Caenorhabditis elegans: one gene and its partners. The protein of the gene in region 1 purifies or fractionates together with the protein of each later gene. This does not show direct contact. Each region holds a gene or a part of one and is shown on either strand. Other genes may lie near its edges.

The links.
Region 2: the proteins of fasn-1 (region 1) and rpn-5 fractionate together in Caenorhabditis elegans (co-fractionation; one large-scale study listed by BioGRID). This does not show direct contact.
Region 3: the proteins of fasn-1 (region 1) and F29B9.11 fractionate together in Caenorhabditis elegans (co-fractionation; one large-scale study listed by BioGRID). This does not show direct contact.
Region 4: the proteins of fasn-1 (region 1) and rpn-6.1 fractionate together in Caenorhabditis elegans (co-fractionation; one large-scale study listed by BioGRID). This does not show direct contact.

What each region holds. Positions count from the first base shown.
Region 1 is NC_003279.8:8,981,336-8,990,125, reverse strand, and holds the start of fasn-1 (Fatty acid synthase), read left to right. Parts: upstream 1-3,585; 5' UTR 3,586-3,603; coding exon 3,604-3,672; intron 3,673-5,342; coding exon 5,343-5,425; intron 5,426-5,772; coding exon 5,773-6,008; intron 6,009-6,281; coding exon 6,282-6,532; intron 6,533-6,624; coding exon 6,625-6,856; intron 6,857-6,910; coding exon 6,911-7,418; intron 7,419-7,474; coding exon 7,475-8,790. Other genes in the region: F32H2.8 (Nucleotide-diphospho-sugar transferase domain-containing protein), read right to left, coding at 48-188.
Region 2 is NC_003280.10:4,691,921-4,699,995, forward strand, and holds rpn-5 (PCI domain-containing protein), read right to left. Parts: upstream 6,375-8,075; 5' UTR 6,373-6,374; coding exon 6,283-6,372; intron 6,226-6,282; coding exon 6,040-6,225; intron 5,989-6,039; coding exon 5,281-5,988; intron 5,234-5,280; coding exon 5,057-5,233; intron 4,990-5,056; coding exon 4,678-4,989; 3' UTR 4,501-4,677; downstream 1-4,500. Other genes in the region: F10G7.5 (MFS domain-containing protein), read left to right, coding at 1,587-1,740, 2,234-2,326, 2,376-2,466, 2,537-2,663, 2,770-3,095, 3,148-3,337, 3,547-3,654, 3,701-3,817 and 1 more; scc-1 (Sister chromatid cohesion protein 1), read left to right, coding at 6,801-7,052, 7,099-7,248, 7,297-8,075.
Region 3 is NC_003282.8:4,657,456-4,664,227, reverse strand, and holds F29B9.11 (Cytochrome c oxidase polypeptide VIIc), read left to right. Parts: upstream 1-4,026; 5' UTR 4,027-4,027; coding exon 4,028-4,141; intron 4,142-4,379; coding exon 4,380-4,532; 3' UTR 4,533-4,597; downstream 4,598-6,772. Other genes in the region: jmjd-1.2 (JmjC domain-containing protein), read right to left, coding at 1-130, 185-557, 876-1,107, 1,160-1,480, 1,839-1,965, 2,020-2,422, 2,587-2,871, 2,918-2,989 and 1 more; mrps-21 (Mitochondrial Ribosomal Protein, Small), read left to right, coding at 4,711-4,862, 4,916-5,105; col-111 (Nematode cuticle collagen N-terminal domain-containing protein), read left to right, coding at 6,641-6,772.
Region 4 is NC_003281.10:6,956,295-6,965,225, reverse strand, and holds rpn-6.1 (putative 26S proteasome regulatory subunit rpn-6.1), read left to right. Parts: upstream 1-3,224; 5' UTR 3,225-3,272; coding exon 3,273-3,318; intron 3,319-4,285; coding exon 4,286-4,378; intron 4,379-4,428; coding exon 4,429-4,652; intron 4,653-4,697; coding exon 4,698-4,827; intron 4,828-4,878; coding exon 4,879-5,207; intron 5,208-5,261; coding exon 5,262-5,567; intron 5,568-5,646; coding exon 5,647-5,835; 3' UTR 5,836-6,116; downstream 6,117-8,931. Other genes in the region: PolyA-specific ribonuclease subunit panl-2, read left to right, coding at 1-447, 519-670, 718-871, 917-1,010, 1,075-1,313; F57B9.1 (Putative pyridoxamine 5'-phosphate oxidase), read right to left, coding at 2,021-2,353, 2,404-2,557, 2,611-2,776, 2,821-2,848; CCR4-NOT transcription complex subunit let-711, read right to left, coding at 7,034-7,169, 7,269-7,536, 7,584-8,499, 8,564-8,931. UniProt on the Caenorhabditis elegans protein: Component of the lid subcomplex of the 26S proteasome, a multiprotein complex involved in the ATP-dependent degradation of ubiquitinated proteins. In the complex, rpn-6.1 is required for proteasome assembly.

The DNA of each region.
Region 1 (8,790 bases):
GTCTTGTCAGGATTTAAAGTTCTAAATTAAAAAAAAAAGTTGAAAACCTCTTCCTCGTCATGCTCATTGTGCATTGTCAGTGGATAATATGTAGCAATAAAAGAAAATATCACAATTAAAAATAAAATGAAATAAGGAACTTTTCGTAATACTGCATTTTTTAGAACTTTGTTAGTTTTGATGATCATTTGAAACCAAATAGAGGCAACATATCGCTTCCTTCTTATCTAATTCGCTGGCATAAACTCATAGACCCACCTCTCTGCATTTCGATGAATTTAAATCTGATAAGTCTAAAAATAACGAGTTTTTTCTCAATAGCAAGCTAGATATACGATTCAAAAAGATGAAATTTCTTTTTAATAGAGCCAGTTATAGTATGCAGTATGAATCTAAACATATGCGTCATGGGTGGCGATAAGAATCGATCCAGCACATATCGGCAAGCTGATCATTTGGTTTTTTCACGATATTCCGACATTATAAAAGATTTTTCTCAAATCCTGAATTATTTTATTTACACGGAAGGCTAAACATCTTATTTTTTAACACTACCTGCCAAATTTCTGATCTCTCGTCTGGTTTTTACTGATTTATTTGAATTTTCCAATGAGTATGATACAAAAGTTTAGCAGTTAAAAAAAAAAGACTAAAATATAACCCATTACTCGGCTCGCATTTTTTAAACATAAACAGTTACTTGTGAATTATACCTTTTTTTAGTCTTGTTAATTTTTTTTAATTTGGACTCTTTGAGAGTTAAGAAGTGTTTTTGGATGTTTCTTTTAAATTTTTAATTAAAAAAAAACAACCCTAATCTCATAGAAATTTTTTTGGTTGACTTCCAAAAAAAAGTAAAGCTGAGTAATTTCCACTTTTTGACTCTGACTAAAAAGACATTTTCTGTAGTAAAATTGAAAAAGTTTACCAACGGCAAAAATATTTGAAACAAATAGTTGACAATTTGTTGTGAACTGCATTGATTTTCAGTTATAGTCATCTGAAATTTTGAAAAAAAAACCGTAAAACTAAAATGATCTTGGTAGATACTATGTTCTTTTTGACTCTAACCACCTGAAAGTAAGAGCAATTTCTGATTGTTCAATTAAACCATCGAATTCCTGCAAAACTTTTATTTAAATCAACGGATATAATTGTCCAAAGAAACATTCGATTCCCGATTCAAAGAAAAATTACGTCAAACATCCGTTTGTCAACGTCACGAATTGTTATCATATTTGTTGGCGAAGTAGTTTGCACTGATGGTTGTTCTAGATGAATAGATCACAATCAGACCACCCTTGGTCTGTGACGTAGCATATAGTTTGTCAAACATTTTCAAAACACTTGATGTTAACAGGCATGGGAACAAAAAAGTAGTCAAAAATTAGTTTCAAAAACGTTTATTTTCTTCATCAAAATTATATAGTACTGTAGTATTATTTTGTTGTTTTTCTAATTGTTAACGGTCTCTAAAGTGTGGTCCTATTCAAACATTTTCAAATTGATGATAGAAGAACCAGAATGTGGCGGCAATTACGTTATTGGGAGGAGGTTTTGATTTTGAATTTAATGTAAAAAGTAGCATTTTCCATCTTCCTCTTTTCCATTTTTCTTCAATTTTTTTCTGTACAATTTCTTTTGCTTGGCCAAACATCCCACGCAATCATAAAAAAAATTTTTATGATGCTGTGAAATTTGCCGCCGCTTGCCACTTTTTCATTCCGTCTAGATAATTGAAATTCTGAAAATTCTTGAAGATTGAGTAGCGTTTGTGGGAATTTTGTTCTAATGCAGCCACAATAGTATAGCACAACCAATTAAATTTTTTAAGTATTTTGGATTTTCGAAAAAAGTTAGTCAAAGTTCTGGCAATGCCATATTGTTTGAAACAGTTAGGATTTTGAAGAAATATATGTAGAGTAAACCCGCATGAAACTTTTAAATTAAAAAAACCTGAATATAGTTTTTGGCTAATTTCCAAGTATGTGAAACCTGAAATATTGCCAATGTTTGACTGTAAATAAAAACATTTCAAATTTTTTGAAAAACTTTAATACGTTATTTTTAATCATTTTAATTATTTTTGTGAGTAGTTTTGAACGGAAAGCAGCGATAAGCCACTTTGAAGGGATAGATGTTCAGTGAAAAACCAACAAAATTCCAAACTTTCAGTCTAGCAACATTATTTATTATTTATTAAGAGATTATGCCAGTAGCAGAGTCGGCTTTAAATTACATTATTTAATTAAACACACATATTCCAAAAGTTCTCTTTTTTTTTTCGAAGTGGCGGTACGATTTCATCAATAGGCGTTTCACTTGGAATTATGCAAAATTTGAGCTATTTTTGAAATCGATAAATCAAAATTAATGAGCCAAAACCCACACAATGACAATACCGGCCACAAAAACTGTAACCTCGTTCGTCCCAGGTATTTAGCAAAATAAAATGTAGAATATTATATCTAAAGTGCAGTTCTTGCAAACAAAGATCAAATGGTTTTAGTTCAGAATCTGCCAATTTTTGATCATAATCGTGCAAAATCAGTAAGATCAGATGCACTATATTTGCCTTTCCATCGAAACCAGATTCTCTCCCCCAAAAAAACCAATCAAGTGCTTCTAAACTTTTAGCTGCAAAATCTTCTTGTTTCGTAGAAATGGGGTCATCTCCAATCTGTTTAAAAGGGATTGACTTAACACCTTTATGTCCCGACGATTCTTTAAAATAATTGGCGATTCTCTTTTCGTTTTCTCAAGATTCATTAGAGAATCACGTGAACTGCAAAAACTGCAAACGGCGTGTTTGACCACAAATGCAACTTTTCGTTGCGGTGGGAACACAAACATTCCACATCGCCGGAATAAGGGGGCAACGAGGGGATAATAAGTAGGTTCTGACCTCCTCTCCCGGGGCTTGGTCACCGTTTACATCGATGCGATCATGTCCCAAGGTCGAATCTCTGTCTCTTTTATGACTATTCTCTCGGATAGGACATTGTCGAAAACCACCAACGATTCACCGCCCCCATCCCGTCCATTCATCTTTCACTTGTTACTTCTTGTGTAGTCCATGTCCAAGAATGGTTAAAGAACGACGAAGATGTACACACTTCTTCTTCTTCTTTTTTCCCAACTTTGTGATTCTTTTTTAGCTAAATTCTGCTTCTAGTGCATTGATAATCGTTAAATTCAACTAAATTATCTAGAATTAATTCTGCTGGTGAAACAAAATACAGCTGAGCGAAAAACTCAAGGTTTTCATCACTTGACTAAATAAGAATGAATACTTCACTACTTTTCAAACCCCGTCTTTAATAAGTTACTCATATTTGGTCGAACATACCTCAATCACACATGGTTGAAAAAACCGGTTCTGAACGTAGCTGACCTCTATGATGTCAACAGTTTCAGGTTTATCGAAAGAAATTTTGTGATTTGTTCAGTTTTAGATGTTATCTATGAGTACGGTAGAGGCAAACATAGATATAACTATTTTCTAGCACTTTTAACAATAATTAATTATTTCAATTAATCTTATTAATTTGTTCGTCAATTGTTGAAAACTCTCTAAATAAACCTTTTTTCAGCTATCGAACGATGGATAATACTGGAGAAGGATCGTCCGATTCGAGTGGAACTTGGGAGCGAATTTCGGACAATTCTCAGGTGAATTCACATATTTATTTATAGTCGCCTCTATTGTATTTCTCTATACCTCTCTTCAAGAATTCAATCTCATTTTGTACAGTCACTTTTTTCTTGCTCCTCTCCGCCCACTGTTCTGAGAGCAGACGGAATGGCTTAAAAGACGCAACAGATCGAAAGAATGCGGCCATTCCGAAAACTTTGTTCTCCTCATTTTCTCCGTCTTTTTCTTCTTTTTTCTTGTATCCCCAATCGTTTATCTTTCCTAAAACATCTCCCTCCTTTACTTCTCCGCGACTTTTTTCCGTCATACTTTTGTCGGGTCGTGTCGGGTGAAGGGACGATGATCGACAGCAATCAGATACAGTATCGGCCCCCGAGATTAGATCACACAGTAACTGACAAGACGACGGACAACTCAGGGACATCACATCTGCAAAAAGGACCTCTCCTATCGATAATCTCTTCTCCTCATCTCGACCTTTCTTTGAGTTCCTATTATTTCTCTTTTCTCTCTTCTTTGTAGATTAACATGGAATGTTGGAAATGCCTCGGTCTCGTCGTTTAGATATTACCCGATTCTATCTCACGGGACAAGAAGAAGCACGAATGGATCCGGTATTAATGTCATCACTTTCATTGTCTTGATTAGCTCATTCATGTGATCTAAGTCATCATGTTATGAAATAGTTGAATCGGTATAAATATGGAGTGAGCGAATTCAGATGAATCACGCCACTTGTTATTCAAATTATCACACTTGGCAATCTAAAACATTTCTTTTTTTCAAGTATAAATCACAATGAGTGTCTGATGGAGAAAATGCTAGAAGGTCTTTCAGCGAGTACTTTATTATTTTTTCTTGTACCATTGCTTGACTTTGAAAGCTTGTCTTTTGTTTTATCGAAAAATTACCAACTGACAAACTATTAGTTATTTAATTTTCTACAGTTTTGTAGTTAATTATTTTTTGACACCAGTAAAATGAGCCAAGATAAATGCTTTCAAAGTTGACTAAAAATTAATTGTTAGTTCTAACTTTTCACGTGGCTACAAAGATACATTCCTCTTACAGTCATAAATCAAACAACTTCTTTTGTTTTAGTGTCAGAACACATCTTGAAACTTGAGAAAAACACTGAATTAAAATAGATTAGAGTAAGTACTGCACTTTTTGAATAAAACTCGTATGACGTGATTTTTAATGTGATAATTACTCTGAAATATCTCAAAACATCCCTCAGTGAGTGGGAAGATACCGTAACCAAGGAATTCAATTTTCACCTCTTGTTACCCTAAAATTAGAAAATTTGTCGTCGTAGAACCTAAACGGATCGTCGAATGTCTCGACGGTTCCCGTGTCCCTCTCTTTTTATCTTTTACCATCTCTACCGCGCAGCAGAGCGCCCGTATCCGCATCTTCTTCGTTTTCCTAGTTTTCTTAGTTGTCCGGTTGTCATCTTATTCTTCTTCTTTTCTTCCATCTTCCCTTCACCTCTTCTTTTGTCATTTCTGAGTACATGCCTCATTCACAAGTGAGCGTATGTGTTTGTGTTTTGTCCGTCTGGTTCTATTTCGAGATTTTAAAATCAATAAGTTTCATAGAACCACTTTGATGGTTGTTATCACATTTCGATTCTTAGATTTGTATTCAAACGGTTTAAAATTGTAACTAATTTTGAAAATTTCAGTCTTCGGACAACATGGATCCAACACAATGGTGGCAGAAGCAGGACGATATCGTAATCTCAGGAGTCTCGGGCCGATTTCCAAGGTACATCTATTTTGAAACCTAAAATTTTGATGACGGATGAGAACGGTAATTGGGTAATGTAATAAACCCATCTGAAAGTACTGACAATATCACATTTACCGTTTCCTCTATTAGAACTGCACCTCATCAACTTTTACTGCTAATATTTGATTTTAATTTGACCTATACAAAACTGTAAAAATGATCATCCGTTGATATGTTTAAAATAATCCGATATTTAAGCTTTCAAAGTAAAATATACTTTTTTTAAGAATTTTACAAATAATTTTAAATAATCTTATTTTTAAGTTTTTGCGGAAACCGTTCACGATTTTACTGAAATATGTCAAACGTTCCAATTTTTTCAGATGCGATAACGTCAAAATGTTCGGAGACATGCTTCTTGCTGGTGAAGACCTGGTAACGGAAGACTCTCTCAGATGGACACCAGGATTTTGCGATCTGCCAAAAAGACATGGAAAACTGAAAGTGTTGAACAAATTCGACGCGGGCTTTTTTCAAGTTACTCCAAAACAGGCAAATTTCATGGATCCACAAGTTCGACTACTTCTTGAAGCTTCATGGGAGGCAATGGTTGATGCGGGTATGTCCATTTTTCTCTCTCGTATTCTCTATCTATATCCCTCCCTCGGAAAAGGAGACGGAAATCGGAAAAAGTGTGCCCCGATGTACCGGGCTGTGGTGGTAACCTTGAGACCGTCATGCGCGCGCACTACTGACCCCGTGCAAGTAGGATGTTCCACTTTTATGATTTTGGAATATTGAACAAGTCAAATAAAGAAATTGGGAAAAGAACAGTGCTTATTCAATTAAAAAACAAAAAAGGAATAATTAAATAATAATACTCAAATTTCAGGCATAAATCCCACTGACCTCCGTGGATCCAAAACAGGAGTTTTTGTTGGATGTTCAGCTTCAGAAACCTCTGGAATGCTCACACAAGACCCAGATACTGTAACGGGCTACACGTTGACGGGTTGTGTGCGTTCTATGTTCTCTAACCGTATTTCTTACACATTCGATTTGCAAGGACCATCTTTCTCGGTGGACACCGCTTGCTCATCTTCACTTTTGGCACTTCAACTTGCCGTCGACTCTATTAGACAGGTTCGTTGCTTTGTTTTTTATGCAAGTTCAATTTATGATGATTTCTACTTTCAATCTGAGATGAAAAATTATTCTAATATTTAATTATTCAGGGTCAATGCGACGCCGCTATTGTCGCAGGAGCTCATCTCACATTGACTCCAACTGCAGCTCTCCAATTCTTGAGATTGGGCATGCTCACAGATAAGGGAAGCTGCCGTTCATTCGACGAATCTGGTGATGGATATTGTCGTACTGAAGGAGTTGCAGCCATCTTCATTCAACGCAAGAAGAAGGCTCAAAGACTCTATGCAACTGTTGTTCACGCCAAGTCTAACACTGATGGTGAGTTTTTTCCAGAATTAAAACATGAGTTTTTCTCAAACATTTAAATTTTAGGGCACAAGGAGCATGGAATCACTTTCCCATCAGGAGAAAGACAAGCTCAATTGCTTCAAGAAGTTTATTCTGAGGCTGGAATCGATCCAAACTCAGTCTACTACGTTGAGGCTCACGGAACTGGAACTAAGGTCGGAGATCCACAGGAAGCCAACGCAATCTGTGAAGTTTTCTGCTCCAAGCGTACTGATTCTCTTTTAATCGGTTCAGTCAAATCTAACATGGGACATGCTGAGCCAGCATCTGGAGTTTGCTCTTTGACCAAGATTCTTCTCTCCATTGAACGTCAATTGATTCCACCAAATTTGCATTACAATACTCCAAATCAGTACATTCCGGGACTTACCGACGGGCGCTTGAAGGTTGTCACGGAGCCAACTGCACTTCCAGGAGGACTTATTGGAATCAACTCTTTCGGATTCGGAGGATCTAACACTCACGTCATCTTGAAGGCTGCTGATCATATAGCTCCACCAATCACCCCACATCCATTCACCAAACTTGTCACGTAAGTTAAAAATATATTTCTAGATTCAGAACAGTTTTGAACGTAAAATATTTCAGTTACTGTGGAAGAACTCAAGAAGCTGTTGAAAACATTTTCACCGAAATTGAGAGTAACAAGGATGATCTCTACCTTCAAGCTTTGTTGGCCAATCAGGCTAACATGCCAGCCAACCTTCTTCCATTCCGTGGATACATGCTTTTGGATAGAGAAAATAATGTTGAGACCTTGAAGAGCATCACCAAGGTCCCAATTACTGAAGCTCGTCCGATCTATTTCATTTACTCTGGAATGGGATCCCAATGGCCTGGAATGGCGATCAAGCTCATGAAGATTCCAATGTTCGATGATTCTCTTCGTGCTTCCAGCAAGACCCTTGAAGAATTTGGACTTGATGTTTACGGAATGCTCTGCAATCCAGATCCAGAACAATACTCCAACAACACTATGAACTGCATGCTCGCCATCACTGCTATCCAAATCGCTTTGACTGATGTTCTCACTGCTCTCGGAGTTTCACCAGATGGAATAATTGGTCATTCAACTGGAGAAATGGGATGTGGATATGCTGACGGAGGAATTACTCGTGAGCAAACAATGAGACTTGCTTATCATCGTGGAACCACCATCATGAAGCACACTGAAATTAAGGGTGCTATGGCTGCTGTTGGTTTGACTTGGGAGCAGGTTAAGGAACAAGCTCCACCTGGAGTTGTTGCCGCTTGCCACAACGGAGCTGACTCGGTTACCATTTCTGGAGATGCTGAAGGTGTAGCTACATTCTGTGCTCAACTCAAGGAGAAGGATATCTTTGCGAAGGTTGTTGATACATCTGGAATTCCATTCCACTCCCCAGCAATGCTAGCTGTTCAAGACGAGATGATTGAGTGCATGAGAACTGCTGTTCCAGAACCAAAACCAAGATCTTCAAAGTGGATTTCTACATCCATCCCAGAAGATGACTGGGAGTCTGACTTGGCTGCAACTTGCTCTGCTGAATACCATGTCCACAATGCTTGCTCTCCAGTGTTGTTCTACGAAGCTATTCAAAAGATTCCAGCAAACGCTGTCACCATTGAAATGGCTCCACATTCATTGATGCAAGCCATTCTTCGTCGTTCACTTCAAAAGACTGTCACCAACGTTGGTCTTATGAACAGGCCAAAGTCTGAGAATGATGATGAACTCGAGAGCTTCTTGGGATCTCTTGGAAAGATCTACCAAGCGGGAGTAAACATTCAAATCACTGAACTCTACCCAGGAGGTCAATACAAGGGAGTTGTTCCAAAGGGAACTCCAATGATTGGTCCAATGTGGAAATGGGACCACACTCAAGACTGGCTTACCATTGATGGGCGTCAAGTTCTTGCTGGAG
Region 2 (8,075 bases), on another chromosome or scaffold:
AAAAACCGAAGATAGTGGATGTTGTTGAGCCCAGAGTTCTGACAGCTTGCTTCCCACAAACGCTTACTCGTGTATGTTTGACAGGAATTTACCTGACTGAAAGCCTGATTGACCACATGGTTTCTCTGAAAAACTTGGCGAGCTTGGACATGGTTGGATGTTTGGTCGATACACGTGCCGGTGCCAAATATGTTCCAAAACTTGGTAAGCTTCAAACTATTTTAATTTAATACTGAATATCTATTTCAGAACAAATGAAAAACCTCGATGATCTGAGCATCCCTCCATCGATGTTCTCTCTCACTTCAACAGCAAAGACATCAGTTGATTTTAACTTTCGTCAGCTGACAGTTTCGAAGATTTCGATTTTTATGGACCAGTTCGAGGATGTCACTTTTTACGATCAGATCAGACATTTTTTGCCGAAAAATCTCCAATGTCTTGTGATTTTTGGAAACTATGGTCCATTGAAGAAAAAGAACCGATTGAACGCAGTCAAGAACTTTGTGGTATGCTTATTTTCTTGCAGTTGGGGAGTTTAGCATTGATATATTTCCAGATTCTCCTCGGTCCAAACGCTCCACTCAGTTCTTGTCCAAAGGAAAATCTGGCTAATGTGACCATTCTATCGCATTTGGTCCGTCGTCCACCATACATTCCGACGACAAATAGTTCAAACTTTTTAAGACGTCACGTGAGTACTCTAACTTTTTACTAGGTTTCAAGTCTTTATTCCAGGATGTCTCAGTTGGAAATCTATCCTGGCAGTTTAGCTTGGTTGAGTGGAAGAATAACAATGGAGCCAAGAAAGATGTGATGGCGTTGAGAACTCGTCTGAATGCGGCTCCAAATGAAGATTTGGTATTTGAGGGAGTCGTTATTGCACCGCCCGTGATTCGTGAGAGATTGAGAGAGGTAAGTCGAGGATCCAAGGATCCTTATAAACACAATTCTAAGACAATGCACAAATCGCGAATAAACTGTGAAACAAAAATTCTTTCAGAATCGTCGCATGCCGATGCAACACCTTGTGCTTCCAGTTACTCCTCCGTTCGATGAGCCTGATGATCCTGCTCCACCATTGCCAGTTGCACCTCCTCCTCTCCATGGACCGAACAACAACGGCAATGGACCAGCTCAAAATGGAAACTAGCACTGATTTTTTGTCATATTCAATAAAGCATTGAGAGCAGACAACGAGAAAAATGTGTGCATATTCAGTATCTACTGATTACAAATTAATAAGAAATTGATAAGAAAGTAGTGAGAATCAACGTTTTTTGGTAATTTCAAAAATCGAATTATTTTTCTTCAAATAGATTTTATTTGGTGAAAATCCACTTTCTATTTCCTCCTAGCCTAGAACCTCCTGGTTTTCTAAATCCATAGATCAAACCATGTTCAGCTGATGTCCTTTGTGTGTTCCTTTATTTCCCGTCTGCGTCTCTATACCATGCCACACAGTCTAGTTATTACACCACCTGCGTCTCTAGGTACATTTTCCCTATCTCGCATGGCATCATTATTCCTAAACATTTTCGGGTTCAATCATTACATATCTGTATATATTGTATAATTTATTCAAAATGTCATGCTTCACCTGCTCATCGTTTTTTGGCAGACTACCAATGGAAACCGATGATCCGATACTAAAGCGATTGCCACGTGGCGCTAGACCGTGGGCGGTACTTGTAGGTGGTGTGATGTGTATGGTGACTTTTGGAATCGTTTATACTTGTGGTAGGTTTTAAATTGTTATAGAATCTAGAAAGATTTTGTGAGATCAAAACAAATTGGAGAGCAAATATTTCGGGAAAACTTCCAACATTTCTTATTAAAACTTTGTAACCGTGAGTAATAGGAAAAATTGTCAACTAGGAAAACAATTTTCAATTAATTCTAAATATTTTATCAGTTGACAGCTTCTCGATTATTTTCACAGTTGACAAATTATGGCGGTTTAAAAATTTAATGGGTGGGCGGCGAGCTTTCTCGGTCTCGGTTAATCTACAAAACTACCAATTTCGGTGTGATAATCCTTGTTTTCAAATTTAAATTTATTTTTATAATATAGAAAAATATTTTATTGATTGGAAATTATTAAAAAGTACCTCGAATACTACTTGAAAGTTGCCATTTGTTGGAAAAAACTGGGTTTTCTTTTGAAGAATTTTTAATTTTGGAAAATTTATGAATTAATCTGAACAATTTGAAGCATTTATAAAATTTCCAGGTAACCTTCTACCGTACCTTGTCTCGTATTTCCGATGGAAAATGTATCCAGATATGAGGACGGGGCAATTGATTTGGTTGCAGACACTTTTGAGTTTGTTTTTTTCCATACTTTCAAGAAACCAGACATTTTGAAATTTCAGGCGGTCTCCCGATGGGAATGGTGATTGGTGGTCTTGTAGAGAGAAAGTTTGGTGGAAGAGCTGGTGCACTTTTAGGTTCAATTATTTATACGTGAGTTTAAAAAAAGTTACAGATCGCGATGCACCATGTGCTTAACAAAAAATGATCTGTATTGTTACAGAATTGGTGTTGGATCAACATTCTACTCAATTCAACACTCCTACGCCGCAACACTGCTTACGATGGGAGGCATCGCAAGCGTCGGAAGTAGCATTGCCTACAGTTCCATTTTGCCAACTGCTCAGAGGGTAATTTTTGAAATTTTTTGTTGTAAATCTTCAAATAAAGTCTTGATTTCCAAAATCTAATTTTTTTTTCAAAACCCCTAACCTCTGCTAATCTTCAAAATTTCAGTGGTTCCCTGACAATGTCGGCCTAGCCGGAGGCATCATAATCGGTGGATATGGATGTGGTGCATTCATCCTGTCACCCCTTCAAACCACTTTTATCAATCCATTAGATTATCGTGTCAACGATCAAGGATTCTTCACTCAAGAGGATCTTTTGGAACGGGTTCCCTACGTTTTCATCGTGATGTCCATCTTTTTTACGGTTTTTCAATCGATTGGGCTCATTTTTATCGGGCAACCGGAAGGCGATATTCACGTTGAAACGGAGAATTTGATTGGGACGAACAGTGAAATTCGCGTGGAACAGGCGAGGGTTTGGCCGCAGTTACGGTAAGTCCTGCCGCGAGGCATTATACAGACAAATAACGGGTTTTTTTTTCAGAACCACAACTTTCCTAGTACTATTCCTGTCGTTGACATGCAATGCCGTTTGGGTCCAACTCACAAGTGGTCTCTACAAAGCTTATGGGCAACAATTTATCGATTCTGACTTCTTTTTGAGCTTGATCGGATCGATATCCTCGATTTTCAACGCTGGGAGCAGAGTTTTTTGGGGTGCAATTGCGGATACGGTTATTTTATTATGGAGTCGCAGAAAAATTCGCGCTACGCCCCCAAGGGTCGGGTCTCGTTGGGTATTGGCGACAAAACAGTTAAACTCTAAAGAAATACCGAAAACATGTTTTTTAAAAATTCTTACCGCTAATACCTAACGAGACCCAACGTTTGAAGGCGGAGCGGTCTTGATTTTCCAATAATTAATTTCAAATCAAATTTTCAGACATCCTATCAATTTTCCATGTCGATTGTGTGCAGCCTGGGAGCAGTTTTGGCATTTTCGATGCCACTGGTGAAAATGGTATCCAATGATGTTCTGTTTTTGGCCACCGTTCGTTTTTTTCTTTTTTTTTCTCATTGAAATTACAGTTTTTCAGGTTTGTCTGATGTTTTCCTGCATCGGAGGCACATTTTCAATCTTTCCTTACATCACGCACAAGTGTTTTAGTAAGGCGAATTTCAGTGTTATGTATGGATTTTTGCAGTGTGCAGTGGTAAGTGGAACTTATTACCGGGATGCGAAATTTTCCGGTTTTTGTGAAAAAGCACCCGGTCTTGACACGACAAAATTTTGTTAAATGCAAAGGGATGTGCGCCTTTAAAGAGTACTGTACTTTCAAACTTGCGTCGATGCGGAATTTTTATAAATGAAATAAAACATTTTAAACACATACATTTAAAAAAATGTGAGAAAAACGATGAAAATGTCGCAGTAGCGAAAGTTTGAAACTACAGTACACTTTAAAGGCGCTTACCTATTTGTTTTTAACACAAATTTCTCGTTTCGAGACCGGGTACCGTATTCGCGAATACATGAATACATTTCAGAGTGTCGCCGGACTAATCGCTGGACTCATTTCAACACATGCTCTTTCTGAAATCGGATTTGAATATCTTTTCATTGTTTGTGGATGCTTCATGTTGACCTCACTTTTCCTCACTTTTATCGTCCACAAAACCGATTTAGCTCAGTTGTTGGTTTCTGCTGAACGAGAACATTTGGAAGAGGATGAGAATGGATATCAAGTTTATCAGTAATTGGTGCACTCATGTTATAGCTTCTTATCAATTTCCTAGAAAATCAACTCAAACCTGTGATGATCCATTTGTTTCCCGTTACCTCTATCTTACAACTTGTTCCATAAAATTGTTTCTTCAAAAGCTAGTAATACACATTGAGCACGTATACGTTTACTATCAAACCGAAGAGTGAAAGGATGAAATCGATCGACAGTATTAATAAATTAATGATAAAACCGGAGAAGGTGCACGAAAAAGAAGAAATTGGGGAGGGCGAACATCAATAAGAAAAATACACATGATGGCGGAATTATACACAAAAAAGTGGTTAAATTTATGCCCGTGGGGCCGCGAGATCCAAGTTCTTGTGAACCATTTGCTCTTTCAGAATGAGATGGGAAACTTTGTTCAATGTATCCGTCAGTTTGTGCACGTTGCTCGCCCATACATCCAATTGCTCAACATTTGCCTTTTTCAAACGAAGATTGACAATACGGGAAGGGCGATGAAGTTTTGCTCCGGTGATCTGACCGGTAACAATGAGGTTACACACAAATGATTCCATTTCATCAACTGGGAAGTCGAGGAGCTCAGCGAGACGTTCGAAAGTGATTTGAGTATAGTACTTGGCAATCATACGCATGTTCTGTAAAAATACAAATAAAAATTTATAAATTTTAACAGGTTTTTAACTTATTAAAATTTTAACTTACGTGCTCTCCAACACGAAGGTGCAAATCAGACCACCGCTTCTCTCCTTCAGTTGATTTGTCGAAAATTCCGGTGTCTGGTGAGCTAGTTGTTCCACGTCTTAAAAGCTTCTCGTACTTTGCGACAATGGTTCCTTTGAAAGAAATGAGTTCTTGGTTGATGAAAAGATCCAGAATGATCTGAAAAGAAAACAATAATTAGATTAAATTCAAATCGCACAGCTTACCTTGTAGTCTGGAACGGTTTCCAATTCTCTTTGAATGGCAATTCGGTTGAGGAGATCCCATTGCTCGTTTGTGTGCGGAGCCAAAAGACAGTAGACAATGGCAGAACGAAGATGTGAGGTCGCCTTGGCTGAATCAGCTTTAATCTTTTTCGTCTCATAAATTTCACGATGATGACGGCACACGTCCAGATAGTTTCCATCGTGAAGTCCGATACGGATCATCGAATCGTAGTATTTCAGCTTCAGGTTCTGTACTTCATCTTCGTCTGACTTGTTGAAGAACTTGATATTGATTTTCTTAGAGATAATAGTGGCTCGCACAAAATCATTACGAACGAGAGAATATCTCATTTGCTCGAGAAGGTATTGCACCTTCTCTCGCATTTCCATGGAGCCATATGTTTCCACTTGAAGTTCAAGAAGCATGGTTGCAGCTTCGTCAAGCTTTCCCTCTCTCTCCAACTTCTTCACAACCATCGAGGTGAGGCGAGCACGTTCCACTTCCACATAGATCTTTCCAGCTGTAACAGTGCGAAGAGTTTCAATAAGCTTCATCTTGAGGTCCTCGGTTGGCATTTTGTCAATCATTGCGACAGCATCACGGACCATCTTTGCGATAGCCATTTTGATGAGAAGTCTTTTCTTTGAAAGCGTCATGATTGTTTCCATAAGAAGATCCCATTTCTGCCCTTCGAAACAAAGCTTCGTCTGCAAATATCAGAATTAATATTTTTTTTTTAATTTGAAAAGTATTATCACCATATATTGAACAACGCGTGTATTGCTCTTCATGTCAGCTCCAAGACGAGTGAGCTTTTCGATGTTGTTCAGACTCTCTACAGCAGCAACAGCGTCCTTTTGAGCGATATCTCGGGCTTTCAGAAGTGCTTCGTCGACTTGTTTCGAGTAGTCCTGCTCCATTTTGAACAAACGACCATCTCCACCCTGAAAATCATTTAATGAAATCTACAGATAAATTCTCGAAAACGTTTTAAAACTTACATGAGCGGCCAAATGAGCCAAATTGTCAAGTTCGCTTAGTTCTCCGACATCGACCGGGTCAACCGGGATCGGTTCGCGTCTGTCGGCCATATCTGGAATAACAATAATTAGAATATATAGTTCTGCTTTTTTAATTGAAAAATAACTTCAAAACCTATAAAAATATTACTTTTAAATGCACAAAAATTTTAAAGGTAGAGAGTAGAAAATAATTATTTCTTGAGTGACAATCCGCACAGCTGAAACGAGTGTTACCGTACCTCAAATCGCGGTAAGACCCAGGAGGAGGAAGACAAAAATATTTGAAAACGATTTTTCGAGCGTTTTGTCTTCATCATCAGAAATTTACCGCATTTTCAATGTTTGCCTCATTTTAAAACTATTGCTTCTCTCATTGTGATCATTTGAACATACTTATTCTTCCAGTTTTTGCTCTTTTATCATGTTTTCTCAGGAATTTTCTAATCTATGATCTCTTTGACGTTAACAATCTATTGTTTATCTCATGCTATTTTCAGATGTTCTATGCACAGTTCGTTCTCGCCAAAAAGGGACCGTTGGCAAAAGTGTGGCTGGCAGCTCACTGGGAAAAAAAGCTGACAAAGGCGCAAATCTTCGAAACAGATGTTCCCCAAGCGATCGAGGAAGTCATTCGCCCCAAGGTTAAAATGGCGCTCCGAACAGTTGGACATCTTCTCCTTGGAATCGTGAGAATCTACTCGAAGAAGACACGATATCTTCTGGCTGATACAAATGAAGCGTATCAAAAGGTAATTAAAGATAATTTAGAACGACAAAAACAAAGTAAATTTTCAGATGAAGATTAACTTCCGCAACGGATTCAGTTTTGAAGTCGACATTCCAGAGAATGCAGAAATTGAAGAGGATTTCTCAAACTTCATTGATAAGTACAATATCACAGTGCCCGAGTTCCACGATGCCGACTACAATGAGCAGCTCATTATGGTGCGTTGTATTAAAAGCAATTCACATTCAATTTAATCGCTGTTTCAGGCTAATGTGAGCCGTCGTGAAGACATCACCATGAAAGAAACCGTCAATTTCAATGTCGAGTTCAACATTGACGCAGATTTCGATGGGTTCGGTGACGAAGGAGAATCTTGGCAACTCGATCATCTCTACGGATCGGTGGAACCTTTGTCTTTGCGCCCCACTCCTCAGCCAGAATCGTTGATGGAAGTCGAACGAGATCGTGATGTGGCTGCAAATGGAACGGAAATTTCCCGTATAGATGCGGATAGTGTGATTTTCTCCGAAGGACCAACACGTCCAAATCTTATTTTTGACAATCAGGAAGGCGGAAATTTCATGCCTGAAATGAACCTGAAGGTTGAGAATCAAACACTGGAAAACGATGGTGGTGTTGGGCCTGCTGATATGTTCAGCTCAATGATTCATCCCGTCAGAGAGCATGCTGTCGCAGATGTTCAAAACGACGATGGTATGGACTTTGACTATCAACCGTTCGAGCCTGAAAACGTTGAGCCATCGAGACCACAAAGTCCCGAGTCATTTGCCCTGGAGCCTCTAGATGTGGAGCACATGGAAGGACGGAAAAAACGTCAGAGAAAAGCGAGAAAGCTGATTGTCGATGCTGAAACTATGATTTCAAACGACGCTTTCCGAGAGCAACAAGAAGACTTCTCCGATACGATGCGAGTAGTTGAAATGGCGCCTCCTACCAGAAAGATGTTCAATTTATGCGTCAGCGGAGATCTTCAACACCTCAGCCGTGAACCTGGATGCAAAATGTTCAACAGAGAACTCCTTCA
Region 3 (6,772 bases), on another chromosome or scaffold:
ATCGCGTTCTTCTCGGGACCCAATCTCAACTCTCGATCCATCCAGCGCTCCATTTCGGCCTTCATGATTTGTGACGCCGTCCAAATATTCTTCTCCTGCTCACGCATGTCAGAACCTTCCTGATTGGCTTCTGAAATGTAGCGAATATTAGTAAAACCGCTATACAAACTAGTAAATTGCTTACCTGTAATCTTCTCAAGCAAGACGTTTCGCATGTACATCCAATGAAGAAGTTCGAAATTCGGAAAGTAGAACTTCTCCTCGCTTCTAATTTCCTTACGAATCGCGTTTTCGAGATGGTACACGCGCATTTGCATCTCAAGATTTCCCAAATGCAAGAAGTTTCCTCCAAAAACGAGCGAATCGACTGGAGTGAGAACCGCGTGAATCCAACCAGCCGGGATGAGCAGTGTCTGACCTTCCTTGATCACAACTCGCTTAACAGCTCCGTTGGCAATGTCACCGAACCATGTAGTGGTGTCCGGAGATGTCTCGTGTGCTTGATAAGCTGCAAAGTTCTGCTCCGTTGGCGCGGCGATGTAGAAGATTTTCTCGCCCTGAAAATAGAGTTAATAAGCTTTGAGAAAACCAATTTCAGTTGAAAGAAGGGTATTTCGAACATTACGATCCTAAATGTGCTCAAATCAACGAATTTCGTGATGAGGCTTCTCAAAAATGCTTTTAAAATCTCGGAAAATAGGAGATTTTAGCCAAATTTAGTCTTTTTTTTTTAATTTTGAACCTCCAAAAAAACCAAAAAAATATTGAGAATTTTTTCAGAAGTTTCAAACGAAATTCGTTAATTTGAGAACATTTTGGCGGGGTCAGAACGTTCACAATCCGCGGAACCATTTATATTCCTTCAATAATTATACCTTCAAAATGTGATAGTAGACGCTACTACCACCAAAGTCCACGTGGAAATCCGTATAAGATCCAGCCATTCCTGCGAGACAAAACTGTTCCACTTTTGGTCGCTGATCTTCTGGAAGATATTCTTCTCTCTGGAGGAGTTTAATGTACTCCGCTCCACTGACATCAGGCCACAGGCGGTTGACCATTGAGATTTCCTGGACAAATCTTGGCGGCTTAGCGATTTCTTTCATCCTGGAAATGTTAATTAATTAATTTTTCAATTGTTTTCAGTTAATAAACTCACTCATTATTGTCCGAGAATTCAAGGGACAGAAAATTGTACAAGAGTGGTCTGTTTTTAGTGTCGCGAAAAAGTTTTCTGAACGTATCAAGCTTCATCGAATAGGTGCTCTGATTATAGACATCGATCGTGTCCACTTCATAATCCGATCCCATAATTTTCACAACATCCTCCAAATCGAATCCAGGCTTCGGCATTGTCATATTGAGGCCGTCCATGTCTTTGACCATAAAAACTTTTCCCCAGTTGTCAGCTCCTCCGAGTTTTTCGAATTCTCTGCGGAATTCGTAGCCATCTTCGACAATGCAAACCTCATCGTCGGTTCTAAAGAATACAAATTTAATTTTAAATAATCTTTAAGGGAGGTCTGGGTTTTTTGCTTGTTTAGACTCAAAATGTGCCGGAATGAACGAAAAACATTATTATAGGTGATAAATTCAAGTTTTTTCGTTGATTTATGTACATTTGAAGCCAATAGGTAATCAAAAAAGGCCAATTTTAGTAAACTGACAGCTCAGAATGTACCAAATAAACGAAAAATGTGAGAAAACGGCAAAAATGGGAGTTTTCAGCTGAGATTAACTCTTTTTCTTGAAATTTTTGTGAAGTCTTCGTTCATTTTGGCGTATTTCGAGTCTTCACAAATAACAACCAAGTCATCTTTTAATGAAAATTCCCTTACGGTGAGGGAACAGTATTTTCTCTGGTGATGAAATCCTCAATCCAAGTTTTTGAGCCAACTTCAATTCCGAGATGCTTCTCGTTCGGACTGTACCAGCGATAACGATGTGGGGCGACGACTTTGTATCCTAAAATAATAAATAAATATATTTAATTGCAAGCTATTCGATGAAAAAACTTACGAATGCTATGTCCGGTATGTGGAACGCATTTGGGGCAGAAAAATTTCTCATACAGGTAATACTCAAATTGCTCGAGGCCTGAGCACAGAAAATGGTACCAGGTTTGGCAAGAGTCACAGCCAATCCATTGGAAGTCATTTTTCTTGTGATGGTGAGATTTCTTCTTGCTCATCAGTGGCTTTTCCTTTTCCTTCTTCTTTTCCTCTTCAAGAGCAATTAGATCATCTTCATGAGTAAATTTTCCGCATCCTCCACATCGATCCGATTCCTTTGGAGTTTTCTGCTCTGGGACATCATCTTCTTCACTGTCCGAGTCCACCTCAAGCTTCAATTCTTCTTGAACTTCTTTCTTTTTTGTTTTCATTTCGTCGAAATTCGAAATTGAAACGAAACGGAATGGAGGCTGGAATAAAATTTGATGATATTTATCAATTAATTTTTTTTCTTCATTTAAAAGTTCAGTATGATATTGCCACGGGAAATTTGAATTTTTTCAAAAATTTATAAATTTATAAATAAATTTTTTTTGAATGAAAATAATCTTCCACATTTCAGAATAAACCATACCTCAGATCCGTTGCTGACGTAGTTCTGATTTGACTCCATCTTCGGCGCTTCCGCTTCCATCTTGTTGCTCATTGCAGCCTGATTATCCGATGAATCTGTCACATGTGGCTCGATTTTAGGCTCGCTCTTCGGATTGTGCTGCTTTCTCCTCGGATCTTTTGGAGCGCCCATCTTGTTGTAAGCTCTCGCCTGGAAAATTACGTTGAGAAATGGAGGAAGTTCAGTGAAATCGGAGGTTACACTCACTTTCATGAGCACTGATTCTATCGCAAAATCAACCGAATTCTGAGATGAGACTTTTTTTAAAATTTTAAATGAATAAAACACTTACTCTATCCATTTCGGAAACCGATTCATGGGAATTGCCATTCAAATGATTTTGAGGAGCTGCGACGCTTGCTTCCTGTAATCAATATCATTGAATAATCGCAGAAAAATAAAAAATCGTACAGAAACTAATGGCGTTTGATGCTCAGTAGAGGAAAGAGCCGGTTGAGAGGCTGTGTATGACATTCCTGGCTCGCCGATTGCCGATTCGTGATTCTTATGGTCGGAATGCTGATCCATCATTAGAAGTGCTGATTGGTCTCGAGAAAACTCGTTTTTTTGTATATTTATATCATTACCATCCATTTGGAATGTGTAGATTCTGGAAAACAACGATTTTTAACGGAAAACTCGAAAACTTCAACGAATAGTCGATTGAAAGGGAAACAACGGACAAAATAACATGAAAATAGCTTCGAAATGTTTAAATTTATTTCTGTTACAACATTTTTCAATAAAAAACTCCAGAAAAATGATGGAAAACTGAAATATATGCTGAAAAAACTGTAAGCCTCGAGGAGATGTGAAGAAGAAGAGAAACGAGACGCAGCATGCGAAACAAGAGACACTGCGAAACGGGGGAACGTGAGTCGCGATGAAATTTACGAGTTTGTGGGATTAAATACTAATTAGTAGATAAACTTTAAGATGAAAATATCAATATTGATTAGTTGAATTGATTGCAATTCTGAATACAAAAAATTTTTAACGAGAAAATCAATTTCTGCCTGTCCACTTCCGGGTTTTGGTGTCTCGCATTCACCGTTCACTCGCTTCGCAGTGTCTCCGTCTTTCTCACCTTCCGTATTCTCACACTTGGCACGTAGCCAAGCGGCTGGTCTCGCAACGATTGTTTTTGTTTTCCGTCAGCCGTCTCTGCGCCTTTAACCTCTCACAGCCTGCCGATTATTTTTTAAGCAGATTTTTACTATTTTTCAGCTTTCAAGCTTCATCCATTAGCAAAATCAAATAATTTTTTGATTCATTGTGTAGAATTAACGATTTTCGTATAGTTTCTGTTTTTATAACCGCCTGAATCGTATTCTCTGTTTCGTTTTCTATGGATTATCATGCTTGCTCAATTACTCTGTAAATTTAAACGATTTATTGCAGGATGCTGAACCGTGCTGTGCTCTCCTTGGCTAGAAGCCAACATGTCATCCGTCGCTCGCTTCACAAGGGAGTTGACTCGACCCCACCACTCCGTTTCACCTCTGTCAGCGAGAAGGTAATTTTTTATTTGCTAAATGTCTTGAACTTATCCTTGTGAGCAGTAAAACTTAAAATACCACTAGCTCACCAAAAAAAACTAAATTTCAGTTTGTACATTCGTTTGAATGGATTTGAAAAATTAATTTCTGAACTAAAAGATACAGTTTTGAAATTTGTCTCACTTTTAATTTAGCTGCTCAAAAACATATTTATCCAGATATCCATATTATTCACTATAACACCAATTTTTTCAGGTTGCCCTTTACGGACTCATCTGCGTCGCTTTCATGGCATACCCAACTTCCGTCCTCTTCAGACTTGATAGTCTTCGCCCAAGACCGGATAATGCTCTCTCCCCAGAAGTCCAAGAAGAGATTGACGCCCGTGTTGCCGCCCGCAGACAGTAGAAGTAATATTATGCCACGAGCCATTGTGTAGACTTTTGAGAACAACAATAAATCGATTCTTGTTTTCTCTTCGCTTTTTCTCAATTTTATTCGCTGTCAAATGTGGTTTATCCATCCATGAAAGATAAATGTTCGATTCGGTTTTTCATTTAGAATTTTTTTGATAATTGTTTTAAAGATGGTACGTCAATTCACCTGGAGAGGAACGATTTCTCAGCCGTTCGCGATTAAACTTTTCAAAGGAATTTGGAATTCACATCCAAGATTCGCAACTCGAACAGTAATGGTGCAGAACAATGATGTCGATGGAGCTTTCGGACTTCTTAACAGGTTTTCTTTGGAAAAATTCCCAGAACATAATTTCAAGATTGAAATAATTTCAGATTGATGGATTCAGAAGGAATGCTGAAAATCATTCGCCGCACTCAATTCTATCAGAAGCCCTACATGCAACGAAAAACACTGTCGATGGAAGCATCAACGGCGATTTTCAACGAGGACATGAACCGGAAAATGAAATTTCTCGTTCGAAAAAATCGTCCCGACAAGCATCCCGGACAAGTGACGTCCTAATTTCGATCTCAGAAAATAGTTGTTTTGAGTTTTTTGTTTTGTTTTGTTTTACAGCAATAAAAGTGTAAATTAATTGAGAATTTAGAAACAAGGATATTGGTTTTAATGTAAAAAGTTGAGGATCGTCGGTATGGATTTTAAGGATTGCACACGTAGAATGAGGAGAAACAGGCGCCGCAGCGCCCGCGGGGCGCTTGTCGCGGCGAGACCCGTGCCGGAGGAAAATGCCTGCGCCTTTAGTTTGCTACTGTCTCTCTCACTCCGCTGTCACGGGAAAACATCCCATTCTCGGGTCGCTGCGCTCCCCCGAGAAAAGGTTTTCCCTTGTTCCTAGCTCCGTTCGAGAGAAATGAGGTTTAAGGATTAAGGTATGGATTGCAAGGGAAGCCAAACATGGAAAAACCTGATCAATGAATTTTTGCGGTTTTTAGTCAAAAATACAGTGACAAGTTTCGACAATAATTTATAAATAAGAAAACGCATAGAAAATAACTAAAGTTGAAACTACTGTACTTCTTAAAGGCGCATTTTTATTCGTTTCGAGACCTGATACCACATTAAAGGCACACGCTGCGGGTCTCGCCACGATCTCAGTTAATGTGGCTGTTACACGTGATTAATTTGAGGCCCCACGAAAAGGGGAGCAGAACGAAAAGGGGATCTGCAAAAATGGGATCTGCGAAAAGGGATATACGAAAAGGGGAGCTGGCACTGTGCCAAACGCACAAAACGCTTTTTTATTCTCATCCAACGCACGACTTTGTTATAACCACACTCCGTTATTACGCATCGCGCGTTGTTTAGCGAAAAATACAAAAAAAAAGTCGTGCGCTGAATGAGAATAAAAAAGCGGTTTGTGCGTTTGGCACAGTGCCAGCTCCCCTTTTCGTATCTCCTCTTTTCGCAGATCCCCTTTTTGCATATCCCCATTAATTTCAAGTAATTGTGTAGAAAACTAGCCGAATTTCCAACAACCTAACAAAATTCGAAAAAGGGATACAGAAAAATGCGACTTTTGAATTTGAGGTGCAAACGTGCTCCAACGCCATAATGAAAATGCTCCGCCTCCAGACTTTGGGTCTCGTTAGGTTTTGGCTTGTATATAATCAATTTGGACATTAAAAAATAATAACTTGAAACGTTTGTTTTTTTTATTTTGCCGCCAACACCTAACGAGACCCAACGTTTAGGGGCGGAGCGTTTTCACCTGGAGCGCGCTTGCACCTCGACCTCAATAATGCGCATTTTTCTGCGCTTCCATAATAAATTGGATTAATCCCTTCTCGTGTTCCCCTTTGATATACGAATCCAATATATCCTTTTTCGTTTCATTGCGCAACTGTTCTTCCTCCATCTCGCTGTCATCCAAAACCGCCATCGAACATGCCAAACTGCTTCCACACCTCGTTATCCATACATGCAACCACACAAACCGGTTTTAGATTTAGCTTCTTGTACTTTCCCCCATCTTCGTTCTATAAAGACATCGTCCACCGTCACTTTGCCATTTCTTTCCATTTTCGTCGTCTAGAACTATGACTGTAGACAACGCGGCGATTGCCACCTGGACAAGTGTCCTGGTGAGCGTTGCGTGCATCTCGTTTTGTGCATTTTTTGCCGCTTCGGTGTGTGAGGATATCAATCAATTTTTGGATGATTCCTTGTTG
Region 4 (8,931 bases), on another chromosome or scaffold:
CTTTGCGAGGGGATTGTTCGTTTGTCTGATGTTTCGGATCTCCCAGACTATGATGAGCCGTCTGCTGTGATTTATGAGCTTGATGCGATGATTCATGCTGTTGGTAATGGAGAAAACGATGTAAATTGGACTCATCCAGTTACATTGTTGAGAGAAAGTCCCGTTATTTCATCGTCCTGGACTTTAATCAATGAGCAGCTAGTGAGCCGATTGCATGATCATGAAGCAAGGCACATAGACGGAAGATGGAAACTTCCCGCGCTTTTGGCTTATAAAAAGAAGAACTTCGATGTGAAAACGAGTGAGGATATTATTTCCAATGATTTGTTCCTCGCGGAAGAAAATTTGGCGAGCAACGGGATGACGTCATTGGCCGTTCAATCATTGGAAGAGCTGCCGAAAGAGAAGGAATTAGTCGGTTTGGATGCAGAGTTTATAAAGATTAAGGTAAGTAACTAAGTTTCGAATACCCTATATTTAAAAATCCGGAATTTAGTAAAAAAAAATTCAATTTACAGACCGATCTACTTGAATTCGACGGAAAAACCGTGCAGATGAGAGCAGTTGGTCGAGCCTCCTGTGTCGACTCGACAGGCGAAAGGATCATATTCGACGATCACGTGAAGCTCACTGATGACGTAGAAGTTGTCGACTATCTCACGAAGTTTAGGTATGCTTCACTTATTTCGAATTCAATCTTTATTCACTTTTTTTCAGTGGAATCGTGAAAGCTGATCTGTGTCCAACGACTTCCGAGAAATACTTGACAACCCACAAGCGGCTTCTTCTACGAATGCATGTTTTGATTCAACGAGGAGTCACATTTGTAGGACACGCTCTGCATAATGATTTCACAGTGCTCAATGTGCATGTAAGATTGTTTTTGCAAAGTTCTAGCTAAAAAGCTAATTTTCAGGTGGCAGAATCACAGATAATCGACACAGTGACTCTGATGCGTCTTGGCACCCAGAGAATGTTATCATTGCAGTTTCTGGTTAAGGAGATTCTTGGTGAGGCCTTTCCTTTAACTTCGCTTGTCTAGCTCGGTTCAGATTTTAAATATAAATTTTTCAGGCGAAACTATACAAATGGAAGCTCACGACTCGGTGGTTGATGCGAGATATGCACTGAAGCTGTACCGAAAATATCTGGAAATCAAAGAGCAAGGACTTCTGGGTTCAGAAATGCGTCGAATCTACACTATTCTCCCGTGTCCATCGCCAAACCAAACATCGTCACCTCTGGTTGTATCTACTACACGAAAAACTCCAGAAGATACGAATCCAGCAGATGCTGCACCGAAGTCGGTTTAAATTGAAGGCCTTCCAGATAAGCTTACTGTAAAAGTTCGTAGAAAACCAGAAAATTATCACTTTCAGCATAATAATTATTATATATTTACTTACGTACCAGATTATCTCAAGTTCACTTAAGCTATCACTTTGTATATCAATTCCCCATTTTGCGAGTCAATTCATGTATTTTAAATACTCGTGTAATCTCAATATTCGTCCCAATATTATTTCTTGAAACATTCCCCTGTTTTTCTCAAAATATCATGTACCATTTATTTTTGTTTCTGTAAATAATACAATTTTGCAATTTATTAGCATTTTTAATTCTATATTCTTCTCTAAAAAATACAACTTCAAAAGCGGTGTTCTTGAAGTTATTCAAACCTCGGAAAATGATAGCCTACCTTTCTATGGGCTATTATTTCAAATTGAAATTTTCAATTGACATTTTGATTTGAAATAACTCGGAAATGAAAATGATCATTAAAGAATCAAATACATATTCTTTAAATTATAATTCGAGAACTAATTCACAAGTGATTAAGAATATAACAGGATACATTGTGATTAATTTGATTCATTTTAACTTGTAATTTTTTGTTGAAGTAATTCCGTTGGTAAGAAAAAATTTTATGGTCTAATTCATAAATAAATACGACGTATTTCTCAAGGAAAATATTTTTAATTTTTATCTACACGAACTTTAACTATAGAAGTGAATGGAATTATGGTGAAAGCCTCTTGAGAAGCCACACATCAACATCTCTTTCGAATACTATTCTATCGTGAAGACGATCCGATTGTCCTTGCCAGAATTCAAAATATCGAGGAATCAAATGATATCCACCCCAGGATTCTGGTTTCGTGATTGCTTGAGCTCCTTCCCGTACAGATAACTCTGTCAGTGCAACTTTTTTGGATTCTAAGAATTCTCTATCGGGAACCACTTTTGATTGATCACTTGATTTTGATCCGATTCGACTTGCTACTGGTCTAGAATTCCAATAAGCGACGGCCATCTCATCTGGAAGCTTCTCAACAACACCTTCAACTCGAATCTGAAATTAAATAATCTCGATTTCAAATTTTCAGCAGTTGAAAATTATACCTGACGATTGACTTTAGGCCAATAAAAGAGCATCGCGGCATTCGGATTCTCTTCCAATTGATTTCCTTTGCGGCTAGTATAATTTGTGTAAAACGAGAAGCCAGTTGGTGTGTACGCTTTCAGAAGAACCATTCTGGATGATGGACGAAGATCTCTGAATTAATACTTTCTAGGTTTTTTTCTCCATTTTGAATGTAATATGCTCACTTTCCGACGGTGGATAAGGATACTGCATTGATTTCTTCGAATGTTAAGTCAGATTGTGAAGCGACGTTACGAAACCAGATATCAAAAAGTTCGAATGGTGACGTGGTTGGTAACTTTGATTCGAGTAGATATGGATCATGAGAGTTTAGATATTTTGCCCGAATGTCTGAAAAATCAAGAATTATTGGTAAAAAATTATTATAAACTCACTTTGAATATCAATAGATGGTGTCTCCATAACGTATGATCTACGTGCCAAGTGACGATATTCGTGAACTGAATATGACCGAATGACCGTAGGAAATAGAAACAGATGATAAGAGAAATACATATATCGTGTGAGATGAAAAGACACCAGACGGTTAGAGTGTGAGATGATACAATCATTTAATTTATCAATTACCTAGTGATAAAAAAGATGACAGACGACGAGGAACGACAAACATTTCGAGGGATCAAGTGAGATTTCTCTGAAACGAATGTATTGGATCTTGGGGATAAGTCGTGGCGAGACCCAGAACATGTGCCAAATAACTAGTTGTTTTTTAGTTGAAAATGAGAGTCAGCTGCTCAGAAATATATGAAAGAAATCTACATTGAAGTTTTGACATCCTCGAAGCTGCTTCAAAAAATTATTTTAATTGACACAACTTTTCGTCCTAATGAGAGAAACGAGTTCACGAGAAGACACTAATAATATTGGAAAAGGTACGTTTTTTATTGAAAAACTGAACTTTACCTCTTGAAAGTGAAAAAGAGTTAATTCAATATTATTTATTTGCACTTGGTGTTTTAAAGTCAATTTTGTATTCCAAAAAAGAATAAGTTTTTGATCAACCTGTTTTTCATGCATGCCTGCATTGATTTTTTTTTGGATCTCCACACAGCATTTTAAAATTCACCACTTTTCCCCCAAGAGGACTCTCAAAAATTCACGTGCTAACCGCTCTTTTACATACGAGCCCGCTATTTGCTCATAGTCAGCTCCCCGATGCTGGTGTTCGAAAACAACTCTTTATTTTCAGGGCTCCCCGTTTTCAGTTAAACTGGCGGCTTGACCTTATTGGTCTTTATCAGTGCAATTTAACCACAACGAAGAACATATTGTTACGAGAAAGTAAATTTTTAATAAACTCGAATTTTTTTAATCAACCCGAAAAAAATAAGCTTTATTTGTATTTTAAACAACATTTTGTTGAATTTTCTGTTCTGTGCATTTTCGCGTCACCTTCAAGTCCGCAAACACCATTTGTGTACCGTACCACACCGGGAAAAATACGCTGGCGGGAATTGTCATCGTCATTGTCTTACTCTCTGTTTCTTACCAGTTTTCTAATGTTTTATCCGTTTATATTTTGATAATTGATCAATTAAATGATAATTATCATATTTTAAAATGATATAATCAGTTGGTGTGTTTTCCGCAAGCACTTATTGATTTCTGAGGCTCCGACAATTTCCATTCCGTTATTTCATTTTTAATGGGGTTATTCAAGTAGTGTCGGAAAATTAAAAAGTGTAGAAAAGTTACGTCACAGCTGTATTCAAGTAAACAAAAACATGTATTTAAATACATTTGTGACGTCACAAATGTATTTTAATACATTTTGCTACATTACTTGAATAACCCCATAAAATTCAATACTTTTTACTGCAATTAAAATCTTAATTTCAGCACCTGAAATGTCTGGAGGAACCATTATGGATACAATGACTTCACTTCCACATCAAAACGACCAAAACGTCATTCGTCACCTCACCAATCTCGGTGAGTCCTTTTCCATATTTCAGAATTTTCCAATTTGTCCCAAATTGAAGTAAAATCACCAGCATCTGGGGACGATGATATCAAGAAGAAAGAAGATTCGATCATGGAATTGGGAAATATTTTGGCTCAAAATAAGCAAACTGAAGAGCTCCGAAATATGATTGAACAAACGAGGCCATTTTTGGTGTCATTGGGAAAGGCAAAGGCTGCAAAACTTGTCAGAGATCTTGTTGATCTATGTCTTAAAATTGATGATCAAGATGGAGATATTAAGGTGAGCAGAATAATAAGCTTCAAATATAAACCCAACTATTTTCAGGTTGGACTCGTTAAAGAATGTATTCAATGGGCCACCGAGCAAAATCGCACTTTCCTCCGTCAAACACTCACTGCTCGTCTTGTTCGCCTCTATAATGATCTTCAAAGATACACTCAGGCTCTTCCACTTGGTAATATATTTCGCTGTAATATTTGAAAATAACTGATAATCTACTTTTCAGCTGCCGATTTGATTCGTGAACTGAAAAAAGTCGACGATAAGGACGTTCTCGTGGAAGTCGAACTTGAGGAAAGCAAAGCGTACTATAATCTTTCCAATATTGGTCGTGCTCGTGCTTCTCTCACTGGTGCTCGTACAACTGCCAACGCAATCTATGTGAATCCTCGCATGCAAGCAGCTCTCGATCTTCAATCGGGAATTCTTCACGCTGCCGACGAGAAGGACTTCAAGACAGCTTTCTCATACTTTTACGAAGCATTTGAGGGATACGATTCGGTTGATGAAAAAGTGTCCGCCCTCACCGCTCTTAAGTATATGCTTCTGTGCAAGGTAATACTCAAAAATAATTACTATTATATTTAAATCCTATATTAAATTTTTCAGGTGATGCTTGACCTTCCAGATGAGGTGAACAGTCTTCTGTCCGCAAAACTTGCTCTTAAATACAATGGTTCTGATTTGGATGCGATGAAGGCGATCGCCGCAGCTGCACAAAAGAGATCTCTTAAGGATTTCCAAGTTGCATTCGGTTCTTTCCCACAGGAACTTCAAATGGATCCAGTTGTCCGAAAACATTTCCATTCTTTGAGTGAACGAATGCTTGAAAAAGATCTGTGCCGTATTATTGAGCCATACTCATTCGTTCAAATTGAACATGTTGCTCAACAGATTGGAATTGATAGATCAAAGGTAAGAACCAAAAATATTGTTTTTTAAATATAAATGCAAAAAAGTTGTTAATTTTTACACAAACTTATAAAACTTTCAGGTCGAAAAGAAGTTGTCCCAAATGATTCTCGATCAAAAACTTTCGGGATCTCTTGATCAAGGCGAGGGAATGCTTATTGTATTTGAAATTGCTGTTCCCGATGAGGCGTACCAAACTGCTCTGGATACAATTCATGCAATGGGAGAGGTTGTCGATGCACTCTATAGTAATGCTTCGAAAATTAACTGATGATTTCTTCGAATCTTCATTTTTTGTTCTGCCTTGTTTTTGTACAATATCTCGACTTTTCCCATTTTCTAAATTTTCTTCGATTTTCCCTCACGGTTCAGTCCTCCGTTCTCCTTTTGAAAATTTATTATGTTTTTTTATAATTGACGACTCCCTCTTTTTTAACCTAGACCTTTCACTTTTCTCCTCCTCTGGAAGCATCAAACTATCCATTCTGCATTATTTTGTAAACGTTTAAATATCCCCCGAACCCGACGTTGTTCAATAAATTTAAGTTGCACAATTGTTTCAGTATATAGAAAGTCTTTGCAAAACCGTTAAAAGAGTTCCTATTTATGTGGCGCGAAATATCTTCTAGCGACTTTCTACCGTACTAATTATTTTTCAGTTCAATTATACGGTAGAAAGTCGCTATGAGATATTACGCGCTACAAATGTAGAAATTATATCTTTCTGATGATTACGTAATATCCAAATCTGTGATGTTAATAAAAATTTGGAAATTCAGTATATCAAATGACGCGTTCTTTATTGCGAATTGGTAAAAGGGGAATGAAAGAGAAACCTCTACAAATCGTAATGATATCAGATAACAAGGACGCAAAATTGAAAAAAGGTTATGGGAACGATAAATAGACAAAGACATCTAGCGCGATTTTAAATGTTTTCACACAATTTAAAAAGATTTCTATACACGGAGGAATACGTCGAAAATGGCGCAATCGATCTATCGGATGTACAAGTCTTTAAAATAACGAAAAAGCGGGCAGAAAACGTCGAATTTACAGAAAAAGACCACCACCCTTTCTGAAAATTCAACCATCATTAACTTCAAGCCGTTTTTTCGTTATTCTAATCTAAAAATTGCATGAAAAGGGTAATTTTGGGGACGAGGAAAAAAGGCAGAGATTCTAGTGTGAACATATGTATATTAATAAAACAAAAATAATAATCGAACATCACGCATAAAAATTTAAAAAAGCTACAAAAATTGCGAAAGGGGTAGTATATATCTCAAAAATTTGAGTTTGTGTTGAAGCCCCGTGTTTGAATGATTTGGAGAGCAGAAAATGAAGAGGGAAAAAACAAGGAGAAAATCAAGAACAGCCCGTATTTCGACATAAGAAGCTATCCAATACAAAAATGTGATGAGAATAAAGATCAGAAAATCGGGAACCGAAAGACCAGATGAGAAAAATCAGTTGGTGTTTGGGTTTTGCTGTTGATTAGCAGCTCCGGTATTGTTTCCTAAAGGTCCTGGGGCACCATCTGGTTGTGCTTGTGGCTGAGATCCTTGGGCTGGGACACAAGTGTTGGCAACATTTTGGAACAATCTGAGAGAAATATTGTTGTAAATCGTCTACGAAAACATAGTAAGACAATTGTATCGGATTATAAAACATTTGCCTAAGAGAATAATAAATTAAATTTACCTCTGTATTTCTGGTGCACAACTGGTGAACTCATAACGCCAGAAGTTGTATGTTGGATTCTTGATGAGCTCTATGAACGTTATAAGAAGTCCCCATGGATGAGGTCGGAGAGCTACAAGACGCTCGAACAGAATACGTGTGATCTGCTCTTGAATTGTGTCATTTGTAGAGTTCTTGAAGAGATACAAAAATACACAGCTGAAGTAGTGTGTATGAGCATTTGGATAACGAAGTTGATTGGCGATTCCGTTGAAAAGAAGGTAACGTCCTGAAAATTAGATTTTTAAATTGAAAGCGTTTTTCGAAAAACCTCACCTTCGGTATCCAATTGAATTGCTAAATTCTGGAAAATGTCCATATACGATGTATGAGCTATGTTCAGCGTTGAGATACGTTGACGTCTCAAGTGCAAGTGCTCAATAGCTCTGATTCCGACGTACAAAACGAGAGCGTTCATTACAGTAGTGTTGTATTTGGTACCGGCTTGATTCTGAGTTTGCAAAAGAGTCGGCAGGTTTGGAAGGAAATCGACAGATATACGATTTGCAAGATATTCATCCAATGGAATTCGAATGTTATCTGGTATGATTGTAGCCATGTTTAAATTGGACTTCGGTTCCACTGCCATCTCTGGAATTGTGTCAACTTGTTTGAAGTTCAATGCAAATGGGTCCGGAAGGCGCATTTGACGTGGATACGCTGATAATATCAAATTGCGAAGTTGCACACAATTTGGTGGAATCGTATCGCAAATTACATAGTGGAATTCGCAAAGAAGCTCCGGGAAATCGTGAAGTATGACCAGCAGAACACGTAGTGTTCCCTTGTACAGAATGGCAATCGATTTTGGCAATTGAATGTTACGAAGGAATGGAGCCAAGAACTTCAAATGAGAAATGATCAATTGAGTGTAAGTGGCTGCCGTTTTCACAGCATCGACGGTTTCAGCAATGCCAGTGTTTGCCAAAAGACGTCCAATCACGTTTCTATGTCCGACAATATCGAGCCAAGCGAAAGCGAATCCAGGCATTCGTCGTGGTTGGAGAGCAAAGAAAGTTTGTCCGAAAGCCTCCAAAATGCTCCAAGCTATTGGTTCAAGAAGTTTCAATGGATCAGGTCCAGTAATCTCATTGAACAGGCTGATCAGAATACGGTGGTATGGCATAGCGTTGAAATCTTGCTTGCGAACTTCGTGATCCATATGAAGCACTCCAACGATGATGTTGAGAAGCTGAAAGAATAATAAATCTAGTGTTTATATTAAACATATCATGAAACCAAATAATAACACCTACTTTTTTCAGCAAATTTATTTTATTCTGCGATTGTCCGTTATCCGAATGTCTGATCATCAAGGCCATCAACTTGACAAACGCATCCAAAGTGTAGTAACATCGGTGACGAATCAAGGTTGTTGGCAATCCATTTGCAAGTTGTTCCGATTTCATAACTCTGACAGAGATATCGACACAATTTTCCACACAAAGACGGAAGAACTGAGTGATCTTGTCGTCAGTAGCAAGAACACCATGTTCGTGCATCAGTTGAATCATTTGAGCCAATGACTCCTGTGGACTTCTTTGTCCAGTTGGAGAATAGCACAGACCAATCCATTCTCGCATAATAATCTCAACTTTCGCAGTCATTTCTTGGTCGTCATATC